Regions from separate parts of the Mus musculus genome. Here all the other regions are reported to be linked to region 4. Evidence: microRNA targets listed by miRTarBase, many of them from high-throughput screens and not tested one by one. Region 4 holds a microRNA gene; each other region holds the end of a gene's coding sequence.

Region 1 (4,293 bases), not on the chromosome of region 4:
TTAGCATAATCTAGATGACTATTTTTAAATGATTGAGTTTGTATTTATAACTAGCTATAATTGTATTTAACTATAATGGACCAAAATAAATCAAGGCATTATCTGTTCTCATTAAATGACCTTTGTAAATGATTCGGGGCATAAAATGGCAGACTGTGTACCATGGTCTTTCTCACATTTTCCTGATGAGCATACACGTTGGACATAACGTTCCTCAGGAAGTGCTCAGAAATACAATGCACAACCCAGACCCAACAACTGTGCTTCTCAGTCACAGCTAACATTATAGAAGACAGTGTGGGGGGCTGTCATGTCACTGTAGCATTCACACACGTGCACGCGAGCGCGCGCGCGCACACGCACACACACACATACACACACACACACACACACTCCCTTTTATGATGGGAATGTTAAAGTACTTTTTGCTGCTTTAGTAGTCACTAAAATAGAGGCCCATTCTGAGCAAACTAGGTATTGGAGATGTTAAATAAATATTCAGAGTTGGTAGCATTCTAGATTGCTGTCTGTAAACTGCTGTATACCATGCTGCTGGTATTTATAGAAGAGTTTGTGTATTAATTGAATCATTTGAAAAGGTATATGTATATGTTTTAAAATATTTTTATTTTTGCATTTATTTTATTTGAAAGGGTATTTAAATCTAGGCTGTAGATTCAGATTGCCGTAGATTCTAGAGTGAACCAGCAGGAGACATTCGGACTGCCAGGCGTCAGGCAGTCCTTAGAGGCAGGGCCAGCGGTGGATACACCTTCAGCATCCTGGCGAGTCCTCCATAGAATATCCTTGGGCAACGTGTGCCCCACATGAGACCTTGGAGGCCATGGTGATGCTTAGTTTGGAAAGTGCTGGCTGTGCTGAGTTCTGATCCCAGCACTGGTGTGAGAAAGCAGACGTGTTGCTGGGGGGCAGCAACAGGATGTCCTCGCATGTGCTGGTCAGCCAGTCTACACAGCTCATCTTCAGGTTCAGTAAGAGACCCTGTCCCAAGGTGGAGACATGACTCAGGATGACACCTGATGTTGACATCTGGCCTCCACACGTGTGCACATACTGTGGACATTTCTCCTGCAGTTAGGAAGTATGACCCATGCTAACCTGAAAGTAGTCTTTGAATATTACTGTCAGTGAAACGAGGCTGCTCATCTTGTTGGCTGTTTAACTGGATAGTTTATGTAGAGTTTTAGTCCCAAGCTTATCATAAAGTGTTACTTACAGAAAAGTAAGCAAAACATAAGGGAACAAAACCTTTACATATCACCTAGATTCTGCAAAATAACTAGGAGCGTAATAGAACAGGCCCTGGACAGATGTTTTAGTTCCCACAGTAAACTTGATGTCGGTTCTTATAGCGGAGCTAATTAAAATAAAGAGCCATATTTATTTTGGGTCAGAGGCAGTTTATTTTAAATGTGATTTCATGTACATTTATTAAGCAGCTTTTCTTGACAGAAAGTTTGAGTAAATTGCCTTCAATTCTGATAGTTCTGTTGCTTTCAAACTTAATGTGCTCTGTCCCCAACAAAACATATGAAAATATAATTTAAAGCACGGTTTTCACAGACACGGTACAATACATTCACTATACACGGTGTAACAAAATATCCCTTCCTCACCTGTTTAGTAATACTGTCACAATGAAGAAGTAGAAACTGGGTTTTATCACTGAAAGGTTTTTAACATGCACAATGACTGTTTTTATGCCTGTGTAGCTGCTGAACTACTGATCCAGCCCGCAGTTTCTCACACTAGAAAGAGCAAAGCTAACTATTAATTGCTGGCCTAACTTTTTTGGTCAACTGTAGGTAGATGTGGAGCAAGTAGGGCCTTCTTTTGCACCAACTTCTATTCTGAATTCTGGATCATCCATTTAACACCATGAGAGCTAACACTGTAGAGTCAAGACCGAGACCACTTTTCAGAGCTGAGGACATTTTTAGTGGGCAGCATCTTTATAAATATTGTTAAATCCCTCATCATGAGGGATTGATGCAGAAGCTTACCCATCTGTTTAACAGAATTGTCTTCACAGTGTGAATGCTGAGGAGGGACGACTAGCTAGCTGTGTGTAAGACTGCGTCAGATGGGAACACGGGGGAAAAGGTTATTTTAGAGGGAATCTGAGTCTGCCTTTCACCAGTTTGTACTGTGTGCAGTTAGCTGTGTCAAAGCAACGTTTATTGCGTATTAGGCAACCGGTAAACTCTTGTTTAAAGAATAGCACTTGGGAGAAAAGAACACTCAACACATGATGGTACTGTCGGTGAGAGAAGCTCCAGGACGATCCAGATGTAGGCCACTCTTAGTGGGTCTATTAGTCACTCTTCCTTGACCACCTGCTGCAAGAAGCACTTAATGTCAGTAAGGCTTATTTTCATATTCTGGCAAAATGTTTTCTAAAGCTAAACAGACATTTCTAATGAGAATGCAGACATCTACAGTGTGATAGGAAAGTGCCTTTAAAAGTCGCAACTGAACAGGAAAGGGGCAGTAGGGGTCTTAGCAACCTTCCTCGCTCAAACACACTTCTGAATTTTAGTTCGGATTGCAACCCACAGATCTCTTAGGGCAATAGTTGCAAGAATTGGCAACGTCTAAACAAAATTGTTGGCAATAGAGAACTACAAAGTGCTTTAAAACCTCATCTATTGATGAAGCTATAACTAAGTTTCACACACACACAATTTGCACTTAAGTATTTCAAAGTGTTTCCTAACATTTCAGGGAAAAGTATTTCACTGGTATCTTGGTCCACAAGTAACTTAGGTATAACTTCAGTCTCTTGCACCCAGCAGGCACTCAATGAGAATGTTAGCATTAATGAGTGAACTGAGTCCTTTGCACAAAGATGCCATTTAGAACACTAAAATGATTGGTAAGTTCGATGGCAAGAATTTCAGCTTCTTAAAGGGCAAGATAATAACTAAAAAAAAAAAAGAAAGAAAAGAAAGCACACCTTTTATGCATGTTATTTAAATATGAAAATATTTTTAGCATATTATGTTAAACATTCTTATTTATATTTCCATTACCTAAAGTCTTTCTACTCACAAATACTAACTCCATTATGTAAGGCATGATAACCAGTTTGATAATGAAGGTATTATTTTGGTTTTATGTGAGTCGATGTGTTGAAAAGCTTCAATCACATTACAATCTTAAAACATCTCAGTGCCAGCCCCTCCTCTCCCAGTTGACATCACTGCAATGTGGTTAAACAATATGCAACATGCCCTTCATTTATTTTGTTTTGGGGAAAATGTGCTGAAGAACCTAGAGCTTGTTTTGTTTAGCACCTTATATCAACGTAATGGAAATGGGCGTGATGATTACATGTGCAAATGTACAAAATCATTAACTACAAAGATACATCATTCCAAAAGTACAGAAAAGGTTAAAGCATGCATTTAATTATTTTTCATTAAAGGGTTGCTGAGTGCTTCCCCTGAAAAAAGGTGGCTGTTTTCAAAATCAGCAACTGCTGGTGAGGATTTCTTGGCACAGTTCTGACCAGCACGCTACTGCTGCATCTTCCTGATCATCTCGGCAGACACTGGGGGATGGAAATTGATTGTGTGGTGCCGCAGGCCCTGAGCTGTCTTGTAACTCTTCCCACACCGGCATTTGAATGGTTTGCGGACGCGAATCTGTGTTCGGTGACCATTCTTAGCATGGTACTTTATGCCATTCACATTCTGTGGAGAAGATAAAAAAAAATTACCTATTAGGGTCACCAAATGTCCTGTCACACTCGTGCAAACCTCAGCATGGGTCAGATTCCAGCAAAGCAGCTCCTGGATGGATCCAGAGGGTGGGCTTCATGTGGGTTTGCTGGTCCTGGGCTGTGTGTGCCAGGGCTTTGTAAGAAAATTAATGGAACACTTCCCTTGGTTTCTTGAAGCCTTGCTTCTCAGCTACTAAAGTTTTCTGCTTGGAAGAGAATTAATTGGAAATTCTGTGAATATTTCAGAATGACCAATGAACACAATGTTCTAAAGAATACAAAAAGTAGGGTAAGGCAGACTGAATGTAAGACATAAGCTGTGGTAAGTACCCTCTAAACCTCACCTGGAGGCTTTGGCAGAGTTAGCTGGCCGTGCTTCAGCATAGGTGAGTGCTCAGAGCCCATGGGCACTGCTTTTGATGATGTACTGCGTTCAGACAGCATGCTTTTAAACCTTTATTTATATAAAGTCAGTCCCATGAAAAACAACATGCTGAGTAGATTTCTTAGCAGCAGATGATAAGAATCTGGGTGTTTAGATTAGCAGA
Region 2 (4,293 bases), not on the chromosome of region 4:
AGAGATGGTAGAATACCAATTGGTTCTTTTCCTGAAGTTTCTTCTCCAAGCAGAATCCACAAGACCCACAGGCTGTTTCTGCAGGCCACCATGGCATTCAGGAATGCCAGCAACCCTGGTTGTGGCTCTTTATGTTGGGCACTGCTGAATTGCCCCATGTCTGAGAAAATGGACCCTTTGTTCTGTGGTGACTGGAGAGGAGACTCCATGAGTTTTCTTTGGAGATTGATGGGCGGGGGCAGTTTGAACTCTTTACTGTCAACTCCAGGGACTTTTCTGACGCTTACCAGCAAGCGCCTCAGGAAGAAAAGAAGGCTGGCGCTATGCTTTGACATTCATGATTGGGAGTCCCATTCCCACACTGTGGCAGGGCTGGAATGTGGAGCCAATAGCAGGGGCCGGAGGTCAATGATGGAGCCACCATGAACGGAATGATGCTGTTTTCAGCAGGGCTTCAATCTCGTGGGACTGGATTTGTTGCCAGAACAGACCTGATAACGCAAGTCCACCCTTCATGCTCGCCTCACGTTCACTTGGGGCTTGCTGCCACGACCAAGCAGCAGAAGACCCTCGTCAGATGCAGCTGCTGGAGTGCAGGCATCGCAGTCTCCAGAACCACAAAGCAAAATAAACCTGCATCCTTTGCCAACCATCCAGCCTCATGTTCTGCTACATCAGTGGCCTAAAGCCCAGTTGCAGCTGACCTGTGAGTTCTGCAAGAATCTTCCATGATGTATGACTTCCCTCAGATGTAGAGTTGACTAGCAGAATTACCCACCACCGACTAACAGGGGGACTTGCCAGGTGCTGAGTACTGAACTATGGTGGATTTCAAACTTGCTATGTAAATGGACTAGTCTAGGGTCAGGCATACCTTTTTCAGACTTGTTCCAAGTCAGACATAGTAGAACTGGTCTGTCATTCCAGCACTTATTGCATGGAGGCAGAAGGACCATAAATTCAAGGCCAACGTGGGATACATAGTAAGACACTGTCTTAAAAGTAGGCAGGTGTTGGAGGATAGACTGGTGTACTCCTCTTGCAGAGGAGCAGAGTTTGGCTCTTTGTACCAATACTGGGTGGCTCTAAGCCACCTGTAATTCCAGCTTCAGGAATCTCTCTGCACTGTGTGACAGCTGTACTCGGTAGGTATAGGTATAGGTATAGGTATAGGTATAGGTATAGGTATAGGTATAGGTATAGGTATAGGTATAGGTATAGGTATAGGATGTGACTATATCTACCTGTTCCATCACATACACATGAATTAAAACAAGGGAAATCGAAAGAACAACGAAAGCATCTCAGTATTGACTTGTCATGTCTGACCCTCAAGTCTGGATGGCCTCGAGCTCCACTGTGGCTTCAAGGTCACACATAACATCAAGATCACCTTGGCACACATAAGGGACCTGACTCTAGAGACCCTATTGCTGTTAGCATGATATAACCAAGCCGAGATGAATGCACTTGGGAGTGATGGTGACATACTTCAATGTGTCAGTGAGTTATGAATAAGCTGTTATTATTTCTCTGTAGAGATGTATATTACATCAGAAAGTGATCACACAAACTTCACAGACTCATCCTGCTTACACTATGTTAATATCTATCATCCCTTTGTGGGCATATATGCAGCATATTGTTAAAGGGTAGAGATAGATGAGTCCAGGTGGGTTGCAGTGAACCAAAGTGGCTATAAACCCAACTCTTGGTCACTGAAGTGTGTCTATAGGCTCACACTTTGAAGACAGTGTCAGAATTCATTGAGTCGACAAAGAAGACGTATTTCGTGGGGTTACTTCCAAATTCTTTGTTTATTAAACTTAGTAGACATTAAGTTAGTACTTTCATTTTTAATAAACCCCCTCAAGTATGCACCATGACTTAAAATATAATCTAAATATAAAGCACTCTGGTACTCCATGCCTTCGTTATAATTTAACACCGCACTGAAAGCTACTGCTTCACAAAGTGAACTCTTAAATACACGACTGACTCTTCTCCTGGGTCCTGGTCTCCATGTCTGCTTTCAGTTCCAGCTAGGTTTTTTGTCTCTCCTCCACCTACCTTCATGGGTCTCTGTGAGCAATAGCACTTGGTGTTTATAGCACCAGTTGCAATAATACAAAGGAATGGGTGGCGGCCATCCCCTCCTCCCTTCGGATGACTGTGAAGCGGCGAACCCTGAATGAGATGGCTCTGGACCTCGCAGGTGGGGCAGAACCAGGGAAATGCAGAGAGGAAGCCGAATCAAGCTGGTAATTCTAGTAACAGGGTGACTCCTCCTAGACCCCACCAAGGAGCACAGGGACAGCTGGCTCCTAGCAGAGTGGCTCATCTGTGGGTGAGTCTCACCCCAACCTCTTTCCATTAGTAAGCTACTGGAGCACTGATGTTTGGTTTCTGTGTGTTAAAGATGGCAGAGTGGATGTGCCCACCCTAACCACAGTGTGAGCCAGGACACAGGGGATTGGTTCACTTGGAGAAAAACTCCACAGATCTCCTTGTCAGTTGTGTGGCACTTAACACAAGGAATCCCCACCCCCACCCCCCACTGCTGCTTCTGGCTGCCTGGAGCAGGAGCTGCTCTGAATTTCCCAACTGGATCAGTCTCCTCTGAGGGTTAAGCAGCAGGCTGTACTCTGTAGCCACCAAACCAAGTATATGGCACACATCTCTTCTCAACAAGTGAAAACCGGCACTCGCTTGTCAACAGAGTTTAAGTTCCATTGAAGCTTTAGGGACACCTCTCTACTCAACATTTCTGAAAGTGTTGGTTAGCATTAAGGCTGGGACAAAGACTTAGCTGAACCTTGCCTCGTCTCTTATGTACTCAACACCAACCCAGGCTCTCCTGTCGCAAACATGGGGTCTTCATGGCGGTCCCAAGCCAACGCTGCACTGGGTTCCAGTGTCGAAAACCTCGAGTGTGGAAGGGATTTGGAGAGATAAAGAGAAGCAATGGCAGAGAGAGCTGCAGCTTGTCATTTGTATCTTTTAAGCTCAGCTCAGAAACACAGTCAGGAGTCAGGGGACAGAGAGAAGAAGGCAGCTGCCACCCCTAAACACACTCGCCCCAGCTCTCTGCAGACATAAAGTGCAATCACACCTCTATGAAGTTCTCAGGCCACGGATCGGGCGGGAAGACATTCAAAGCTGAAACTTCAAACACACTGCTCATGGCGCAGAGGCTGGAAGAGGTGGGGAGAGGAGAGGCAACGGCAGGTCTCAAGGCATTCAAGTGCATCAAAAGAATCAATGTCCTTTCTCTGTGTGAAGGAAAGTCATACACGGTAAAGAGTCTTGGTTCAGGAAATGTCTTCTATCTGAGGATGCGCCAATGTGGGAGAGTCCAAAGGCTGACAAAGGCAGGAAGCAACAGGGACCCAGCTGTCCTCCCTGCTGCCCTGCCATACAGATGACCTTGACTGTCTTCCAACAACTCTTCAGCTCTTGGTGAGGAAGAGGCACACTGGACCAAGGGCATCTGGTAGGATGTGGCTCTCTTCTCTGGTCTGTCTGGGCTGGAGCCATCGCTGGGCCTCTGGCCATTGAACAGCAGGTAGCGGCCTCGGGTGTCTTGCTCCATTTTGAAGATCTCATATTCTGTGTGAGGTAGTTTGATGCCCAGAGCCACGCAGCCATTGGTATGTGTCACATCCTGTTGGATACCCACCTGCCAGGAGCCCTCAGCCCCACACTCATTCCCACTGAAGACATTGAGGAGGGAGGCTGTGGCTGCGTCCATGGGAGTAACCTTCATGTGATTCACTGTGGAGAAGAGAGATATTTATGACTCTAGGCACACAACTTAAGGAGGCAGACACTTCTGGCAAATGCTAGAGGCACTGTTTCAACACAGCTTTCTCTTTAAAGCACAATCCAATTGCTTGCCTGGCTGACCACAGTAATCAAAAAAGTAGGCTCTGGTAGGAAGTTCCATATGCTGACTTGAATGGTGATCATACCAAACACAGCCAGCCAGCTCACAGTGTCACGCACTCCGCAGCTACAACTTAACTACACGGCCCTGCAATGACTTCATTAAGTATCAGAAGTAATGTAGAAATGGTGTAAAGTATAAGAGGATATGCACAGGTTTTGTGCAAGCATATTCATTTCACAGAAGGAACTAAAGCAACTTTGCGTTTTGGTATCTTCAGGGAGCCCTGAAAGTAATTCCCATGAATGTAAAGTCATGACAGTATACTGTACATATGACCAAAAAAACAGTGACATTTGGTTTATATTCCAAGTCCAGTTTGGAGATGATCACACATGTCCTTGTGA
Region 3 (4,293 bases), not on the chromosome of region 4:
CTGACAAACGTTTCCTCTACCTCAAGGATCTATGGACGACCTTCATTGACATGCAATGGCGCTACAAGCTTCTGCTCTTCTCTGCAACCTTTGCAGGCACGTGGTTCCTCTTTGGTGTGGTGTGGTATCTGGTAGCTGTGGCCCATGGGGACCTGTTGGAGCTGGGACCTCCTGCCAACCACACGCCTTGTGTGGTGCAGGTGCACACGCTCACCGGAGCCTTCCTCTTCTCCCTGGAATCCCAGACCACCATCGGCTATGGCTTCCGCTACATCAGTGAGGAATGCCCACTGGCCATCGTGCTTCTTATTGCGCAGCTGGTGCTCACCACCATTCTGGAAATCTTCATCACAGGTACCTTCCTTGCAAAGATTGCCCGGCCTAAGAAGAGGGCCGAGACGATCCGCTTCAGCCAGCATGCCGTTGTGGCTTCCCATAACGGGAAGCCTTGCCTTATGATCCGGGTTGCCAATATGCGGAAGAGTCTCCTCATTGGATGCCAGGTGACAGGCAAACTGCTTCAAACGCACCAGACAAAGGAGGGTGAGAATATTCGGCTCAACCAGGTCAACGTGACTTTCCAAGTAGACACAGCCTCAGACAGCCCCTTTCTCATCCTACCCCTGACTTTCTACCACGTGGTAGATGAGACCAGCCCCTTAAAAGATCTCCCGCTCCGCAGTGGGGAGGGGGACTTTGAGCTGGTGCTGATCCTGAGTGGGACAGTGGAGTCCACCAGTGCCACCTGCCAAGTTCGCACTTCCTACCTACCGGAGGAGATCCTCTGGGGTTACGAGTTCACGCCTGCGATCTCACTGTCAGCCAGTGGCAAATACATAGCTGACTTCAGCCTTTTCGACCAGGTTGTGAAAGTGGCATCTCCCAGTGGTCTCCGCGATAGCACCGTACGCTATGGAGACCCCGAGAAGCTCAAGTTGGAGGAGTCATTAAGAGAGCAAGCTGAAAAGGAAGGCAGTGCCCTTAGTGTGCGCATCAGCAACGTCTGATATCCTGTTCTCTCCTCCCCAGCCCTCTGGCCTTTTCCTCTTCCAGTGCTCTGGGAAAAGGATACAATCTGGGTTCGCTGGAGAGACCCTGAAGCACCCACCCTCAACTTCCCCTTAGCCCGGTGGCCTGTGAGCAGTCGGGGCCTGCTGGAGCCCTTCCTTTTCCTCTCACTGTCCCCTTGTACCTTCCTCTACCACTACACCAATGTATATGACTCTTAAGCCAGCTTGGGGGAAAGAGAGGGAAGATGAGGCTGACATGGCTTGGAAGGCCGCAGCCATGCTTGGAGATTCACATTCAGAGGACCATGTGACTGGATGGATAGACTCCCCCCCAAACGCCCACCACTAGAAAATTTGATGGCTTGAGACTGGAGCTTCCTCCTTTTCTCTTCCATCTAGCTAAGTTCCCTGAGGCAGAACTCTCTCAGAGAGTCACTCTATGGGCTCTGCCCTCAGAAGTACTGGGATCTGAAATCAGTTTTCCCTGGGCTATCAAATCCTGAAGAAAGAAGCCAGAGTTTGTCATGGTGTTTTAATTTCAGCTGGTAACTCCTGACAGAGCCTGGACTCTTGGTCACCACCTAATTTTCCCTCTCCAGTTCTCAAGTGGATCTTCTCAGCAAAGCCGGTTCTCTCTCAGCTTCTGTTTCTGTAGAACTGGGGTTGACTCGAGAAACACAAGCAGCCACCTTTCCTGCACCCATCCTGGATTCTGAGAAATTCAATTTTGGAAATACTGTCTAATACTCTGGCCCTGTCCTTTGGGCAGCTCTGTCCTGAAAAGATATGTTTTAGTGTTTCCTGGGAATAGGAAGACCTTAACCAATGCTCTCTCTCTCTCTCTCTCTCTCTCTCTCTCTCTCTCTCTCTCTCTCCCTCCCTCCCTCCCTCCCTCCCTCCCTCCCTCCCTCCCTCCCTCTCTCTCTCTCTCTCTCTCTCTCTCTCTCTCTCTCTTTCATGGGCTGTCCTTGAATTTACTATGTAGACTAGGCTGGCCTTGAACTCACAGATACCTAGCTGCCTCCGTCTCCCATATACTGGGATTAAAGGCATGAACCACTATGCCAAGCCCCCAATGTTCTCTTGAATAAGTCCATTGCACATACCTCACGAAAATATCTAAAACCATCCAGATTACACTGTACCAGTTCCATTGCTTCCTTTTCTCCCACCCCAGACCTTCCCTTAACTCAACCTTTTGAAGTAAGAGAGGGAAACATGGTCATTTGCCTTTCTTAACATCGATCTATTAAAACTAGTCACAGGGCACAGATTCCCCAGGAAAGCTGAACCCACTTCTCAGATTTCCAGATTGCTGTACAGAGCCTCGGGGAATTTGTGATGTTTTGTTATGGTTTGGGCTGAGGCAGAACTCTGGCTGACAGCCACTATTTTGTTCCATCTCCTGGTGCCCTTCTGAGAAGTGCCAGCTATTTTATGAGGCAATGCTGAGAGGAGAGGAACTTACATTCTGATCTCTGCCATTCTGACACCTGGCATAAAATGATGAAAACCAGCGCCATCTCTCCTCTTTTCTGCCTACGGGCCAGTTCCAGGCAAATTACAAAGACAGCTTAAGATCACACCCAAGCCATTCCTAGTTCTCTGGTGAGGGTTGTGGCAGGGGTCATGGAAGGGCATTTGAAGCACCAGGTCCTGTCCTAGTGAGCTTTGGCTCCACTTGGGTACCCAGGAAACCTCGCAAGGTAGTTTGGCAGGAATGACGTAAGCTGTAAGGTGGACTTGACAGATGACAAGCGACACATCTATACAGAATGCATGCCCGGATCTCTGGGCAAAGCCTTGCAGAGAAACTCAGAAGATCCCAAGACTGAGTGGATCTCAACTGTGCACAGTCTTTTTACGTTGGTCTTCCCTTGAACTCAATTAACTGTAGCCTGAAAACGAAGAGCCTTTGGTCTCTCCTTACTGTAAAGCTCACCGTTAGCCTCCAACTCTCATCAACAACCAGAACCAGAAGAACCTGAATGTCTGAAACAAAGAGCAGAAGGCAAGAGCCAGCTTATGTGCTTTCAAATACATTCAACGCTGCGCTTACCTGATGTGTCCAGTGTGCAAGGACCATGTGTACTGCTGTGTGTGTGTGTGTGTGTGTGTGTGTGTGTGTGTGTGTGTGTGTGTCTTCTTATCCTGTGGCAATTTATCCTCTGTCCTGTTTCTTCTTCACATTGCTGCTTCCCTTCTGAGGGAATGACCCTCGTCCCAGAGCCTTGCCAAGGCCCAACTCTCCTCAGAATCTTGGATAACAATGTGAGAGAGCATTTCCTGCCTTAACCCCTTTTGAACTTCCTCTACAATCCCAGGCTTTGCTCTAAGTTGCACTTTAAAATCATTTAAAAATCATTAACATCTGTCCTGTTAATTCAGAATTCAGAACGGCACCTTTCTCCAACAAGCCTTATGTTCTGCAGAACAACTCCCACTCACAACCCTAAGTGGTTCTTTAGATCCCAGCCCGACTCTCTGACCTGAAATCCTTTCTCAGGATGCAGGGCAAGCTTTACTAACAGCCACGGCTGATGAAAAATGGGTTCCCTGTCTGTACCAGCTAGAGACTTGGAATGTCAGGAGAATAACAGGTGCGCCAATTCTAAGTGGGATGGGAGATTTCAGGTGAGCAAAACGACCAATGGGGAAGGATCTCCAGAGTGGGGAAAAAGTGAACGACGAGGCTAAGGGGCCTAGGGAGATGAAACTCAGAGTCTTACTTACTTATGACTGACACACAGGAGGTGGGGGGAAACTTGGGAGATTGAGATATGATATATGTTTATCTAAGGAGAAAAACAGAGATAATATATACAGAGAAATGTACATAGATGTACATATACCCAAATATACGGACTGTACAGAAGGAAGTATTCAGACTTTAACAAAGGGACAAATATTTTGCCTTGGTTTGGGGGAGCAGGATAGCTGGATCTTCTGTGTTATGGTCTGAACAACAGTGACAGTAGCTGATGGTTTTAAGTTTGCTTGATGGAAAAGGGAGGGCTAGACCCTGCCCTTTTCATAAATAAAGGAGCATCCGTCGAGGTTTGATGAATTGTGCTGGCAGGACAAGAGGAAAACTAGGAGGAAATGGGACACAGGGATGCTCCACTCATGGAGAAGTAGGAAAATCTACCACTCACACAATCCCTGGCCAACAACCTGCCGCTGAACAAGTTCTAAAACAAGCAAGCAAGGGAGCAAGTAAGCGATCGAGCAAGCGAGCAAACAAAAGCATCCTTCCATTTTCCTCTCTTCTTCCACCAAGATG
Region 4 (4,679 bases):
GGCTCAGCAGTTAAGAGCACTGACTGCTCTTCTAGAAGTCCTGAGTTCAATTCCCATCAACCATATGGTGGCTCACAACCATCTGTAATGGGGTCTGATGCCCTCTTCTGGTGTGTCTGAAGAGAGCAATGGTATACTCATATACATAAAATTTTTTAAAATTTAAAAAAGATTTATTAAAAATAAAAAATTTTAAAAAGTCTTAAGACTTGTCTATGGTGAGTAGAGTAGATCGCTAATTTCTGGTTCACATCCACTCTAACTCAGACACTTAAAACTTTATAATAATATTATTAACATGACAAATACTTCTAAATTCAAATCCAATTCATGTATACTAATTTAGTCTGTAAAGTATATTTATGAATATTATCTCATCTACCCCTTTTAACAGCAAGCTCTTACTTATTTTCCACTGGAAAAACTAAACTCAAAACAAGACTAAATTTCCCAAGATATGACATATGACACACTGTTTAACAATATTCTAGAGTGAAGACAAGTAACCACCCAGTTTTGTTCTCCTGATTTTTCAGTGGTGTTTCAGGAATTATATAAATAGACGTGTCAATAAAATTTATTGAAGGAGAATTCATACAAGCACAATTATTTTCTATAGTAGCCTACAAAAAACAAAGGACATTTTCCTACTCATTGCTGATCATTTGTATTCAATTCTTTATAACTGCTGAATTTATCCATTTTAATATTAACTTAAAGACCAAATTAATAGAAAAGAAATAAAACAATTTACAATGTAGAAGCATATCCAACCAGAGTCCACATATTTTTGATACTTCAAAAAGGTGTCAGCCTCCCATGGAAGGGCAAAGTAGAGTCAAATGGTACTTTACTGCTAAGAAATAGTTTCAGTAAATAGTTTAGCAGTAATCTATGACAATGTTCCAAGAAGTCCATGCTAACGAGTGGATATCAGTTAAGCAGGTAAAAAGACAATTATCTGACTTTTTCATATTCCAACTAAGGCATGGAACATATACTGGAATTTACGTTTATATTTTTCAATATTCCTAGGTACCCTTTTCCCACCTCAAACATCCTTCTTACCTCACACAGCTAAAGTAAAAATATCCCAAAAATTCTAGAGCCTAATAAAAGTAGTACCTTAAAACAAAAGAAAAAATGTAAATACTTAAAATGTAAATTCTTTTGAACCTCCATTCTAAATACACCCTAGATGTGAATGACATTGGGGGGGAGGGTGGCCCTCTCCATCAGTCCTGCAACGCTGATGTGATCAGAGTGGGGGTAGCCCTCTCTATCAGTCCCACAAGCTGATGTGGTCAGAGGGTTTTCCCAAGGTTGCACTCACCATGATACCAAGAGCATTTTTCCAGAGTCTTACTTTTACTAATCAGCTATTTGGAAATTCTAACAGTGCAAACATTACTAACACCATCTTTTAAACTTTCTGAAGTCAATGAAACACTGCAATACAGTACAACAATACTGAACAGGTACAACCAAATCCTGCCAACATCCTGCTACTAGCGTATTTGTCCAATTTGGGGCATATATCATTTAGATAGAAACTGAGGCACACAGACACTTTAATGAACAGCAAATCAGTCTAAGCCACATCATTACCAGAAACCAAAATCTCAAAACAAAGTCTTCCAAAGTCACCTGGGCTTCGAACTAAACTAAACATAAAAAGAAGTTAAAGGTGGAGGAACTGTTTGAAATAAAAATGGTTGTTGGTAATCCTAAGTATTTACTGAGCCTTAACTACACGTCAACCACTAAGCTAAGTGAGCACTCTCAGGACTTCTACACCCAATCCTACAACAACCCTACAGGAGTTCATAAAGAACAGTCAAAACAAAGTTTTGAAATTTTACAAGCGAAAATCTAAGCTATTTGAGAATCTGCCCTTCCTTCTCTCTCTTCAGGCTGCATCTCTTAGCATCAATCTACATGGAGCAGGGGGAGAAATAAAGCAAGCCTACAAAACCGGCACTTTTAGAGCAGGGGCAGCAGGACCACAAGATACAGAAACCGGCTGAGCTAGAGTAAGAGCCTCTAAAAAACACAAAAGAGGGGTGGGAGCTGAGAGAACTGAAGCAGTAAGTCTGTGAGTTCAAGTCCAGCATAAACTATACAGGATTTTGTCTCAAAAATAAATGACATGAAATAATTCAATTATATTGAATCATTTATTTTCTCCCAGTTAGACAATACTGACCAATTAATCATTCTAGAAGCATCACAAAACTCTGAATTTAAAGACGGGAATAAAAAGCCCGCAGGCCAAGCCAGGTGGTGGTGGTGCACGCCTTTAATCCCAGCACTTGGGGAGCAAAGGCAGGTGTATCAACGCCAGTCTGGTCTACAGAGCAAGATCCAGGATTGCCAAAACTACACAGAAAAGACCTGTCTTAAAACAAAATAAAATAATAATAATAATAATAATAATAATAATAATAATAATAATTCCAGCTGAATAACTCTCCCCACTGGGGGCAAAAGGAATAGCATGTGTCAGGCTTGACAAAAAGGCATCTACTGCCCTCACTAGAAAACAATGATACCAGACTTCTGCAATAACCTATTCGACCACATGCACAGAAACTACTTACAGTTTCCAAGTCAAGTTTTGAATATGTTATTTTGCATTTAGATCTTATAAAAGCTAGTAAAAGCACTGTGATAAAACAGAACACCAAGCTGTTTATAAAGTCTCACTTTATAATTTCAGAAACAGAGTAAGTATGATTTCATTAATGTAACTTTAAAAAAATGAAGTTCTTAGAGTTTTAGGGATCTATTTATAAAATGGAGTAGACAAGAAAAAGAGTTCTCCGTGCTATTTAAACCAACTACATGTCCCAGCATGCAATGCTCTTATCTGAAGTTAAGAAAAAGCTGCAGTGCATCCTGGGACTTGTAGTAAGTAAACCAGCTTTTCACAGCAAGTTTCAGAAAGTCTGAACTGTGGAGCGCATCTGATTAGGTCTTATTTTCAGAGTCTAATCAAATTCAAATCAAATTTGTTTGCTCTCTGCTCTGGTATTGTTTCTCTAGTACATATTAGAAAAAGTAGCAATTCGCATTAATAACTTCCACTAGAAAAACCTCAAGTAAGAACAAAATGCTTTAAAAATAACTGACATGACAGAAACATAATTTTATACTTTTAAAAATAAGTTTTGTTGGATCAGTTGCAACATTTTTACCATCTCCCCACTAAGATGCTTTTACTATACTGTGTCCCCTTTAACAATTATTCTAAATATATTTTAAAATAATTTTACTTAAAAAATTCTATAACCAAGCATTTGCTATACTCTAGGATTGTTCACTAGGAAATATATCCTTACAGTAATATGCACGCGCACACACTCACAACAAAACACCTAAGCGCTTCTCTTGTCAAATCCTCCCTTTCCAGTTATGCCCATCACTCACCACTCCTAATATCTATATACACACACTACAGAACTCCGAGAAAAAAAGATTCCAATTTCCAAAATTACAAAAGTTTTTGTAAGCTACTAAGAGCACTTCCAATCTGAACTGTAGTTTACATACATATAGTTCCTTCTGACAGCCCTCTTTTCTCTAAGACTCTGGAAGGAGGCTGCAGTCTGCATCAGGAGGCCTACCGCAGGTGGTGGGTTATTTTCAGGCAACAGCACCTTCACAAACATGCTGTAGAATACAGGCCAAGAAACTCCTAACGAGGAGAGATAAGCTGGCACGGAGATTAACACAATCCAGCTAGAAGTCACCTGCAGCACGTGCTAGCACATTTCACCACAGAAGCGACAGGCTCCTCAAGTATCCAAAGCTTCATCAATACAACAGGATGTCCATAAGGCCAAAGATAGCAGTTGCCATGGTTACTATCACCCACTTTTATCATGAAATTATTGTCATTACCCTGAAGTTTAGGGTACTTACTTAAATGTTAAAAAGAAGAGTTCGGTGTTCTGTGGAGGGAGAAAAATCAAGTGCTGTCTGATCTGTAAGCATGCCACTCTAGAAATGCACATGGTTAACAACACTTGGATCTGCAGCGGGAAAAAAAAAATCAATTCCTTTCTGCTGCTCCTGTTCCTCAAGCACTGACAGTTTGTATTTTCAATGCAGCCAAAACAATAAAACAAAACCCATCTTTTTTGGCCTCTGTGACTGAGTTATGTTTTTCCCTTAGGCCCAAAAAGTCAAAATAAAACTACTAGGCCACACCCCTTCCAATCTCCATATAACTGGTTTAATCTTTTCCTCATTAAAAAGCAGAAAAGACTGCCTTAGTACATCCCAAAATATGGGAAAAAATAATTTCCTGAGACTGTATATGAACTATTATTATTAATTGAGTAAAAGAAAGGGGAATAGAGAGAGGAGAGGGACTTGAGAGCTGGGAGAGTCCAGGATGGATTCTAACTGCCACAGAGTCTACCTACGAATGGACATTACTCAGCAAAGAATCTGGGGTGAGTGAACCTCACAGTCTACATGGGAAGATTTGCCACCATTCTATAGTCAGGTGGCCCATGACACACAAAGTTGCTCTTCAAAGTCTATCCCGAGGTGAGCATGGTAATTCATGCCTGCAAACCCAGCACTTAGGAATCCGAAGCAGGAAGATTACCACAAATTGACCTCGCCTCAAAAAGTAAAAAAAAAATAAATAAAAATAAAAAAGACAACCA

Evidence for each region. Region 4 holds the annotated microRNA mmu-miR-1955-3p (GAGCAUUGCAUGCUGGGACAU, at 2,845-2,865, opposite strand). A microRNA usually pairs through its seed, bases 2 to 8, with sites in the 3' UTR of a target mRNA and lowers its output. Matches are read on the target gene's strand: a 7mer-m8 pairs with bases 2 to 8, a 7mer-A1 pairs with bases 2 to 7 and ends in A, and an 8mer does both.
Region 1: miRTarBase lists Jazf1 as a target of mmu-miR-1955-3p. Seed matches in the 3' UTR shown: 7mer-A1 at 2,834-2,840.
Region 2: the mRNA of Apcdd1 is a reported target of mmu-miR-1955-3p. Seed matches in the 3' UTR shown: 7mer-A1 at 2,782-2,788.
Region 3: the mRNA of Kcnj10 is a reported target of mmu-miR-1955-3p. Seed matches in the 3' UTR shown: 7mer-m8 at 1,834-1,840 and 7mer-m8 at 2,454-2,460.

What each region holds. Positions count from the first base shown.
Region 1 is chr6:52,766,665-52,770,957 of GRCm38, forward strand. It overlaps Jazf1 (JAZF zinc finger 1), which reads right to left. Exons shown (of 5, transcript NM_173406.3): 5 at 1,404-3,716. The coding sequence ends at 3,540. It overlaps Tax1bp1 (Tax1 (human T cell leukemia virus type I) binding protein 1), which reads left to right. Exons shown (of 18, transcript NM_025816.3): 18 at 1-116. Among named protein-coding and RNA genes, the nearest start is that of Gm52904, 30 kb to the right of the region's middle.
Region 2 is chr18:62,951,311-62,955,603 of GRCm38, reverse strand. It overlaps Apcdd1 (adenomatosis polyposis coli down-regulated 1), which reads right to left. Exons shown (of 5, transcript NM_133237.4): 5 at 1,789-3,774. The coding sequence ends at 3,326. Among named protein-coding and RNA genes, the nearest start is that of Napg, 24 kb to the left of the region's middle.
Region 3 is chr1:172,369,054-172,373,346 of GRCm38, forward strand. It overlaps Kcnj10 (potassium inwardly-rectifying channel, subfamily J, member 10), which reads left to right. Exons shown (of 2, transcript NM_001039484.1): 2 at 1-4,293. The coding sequence ends at 1,007. Among named protein-coding and RNA genes, the nearest start is that of Pigm, 5.3 kb to the right of the region's middle.
Region 4 is chr2:92,190,221-92,194,899 of GRCm38, reverse strand. Mir1955 (microRNA 1955) reads right to left here and starts at 2,923; the gene lies at 2,826-2,923. All of the region lies in intron 1 of Phf21a (PHD finger protein 21A), which reads right to left.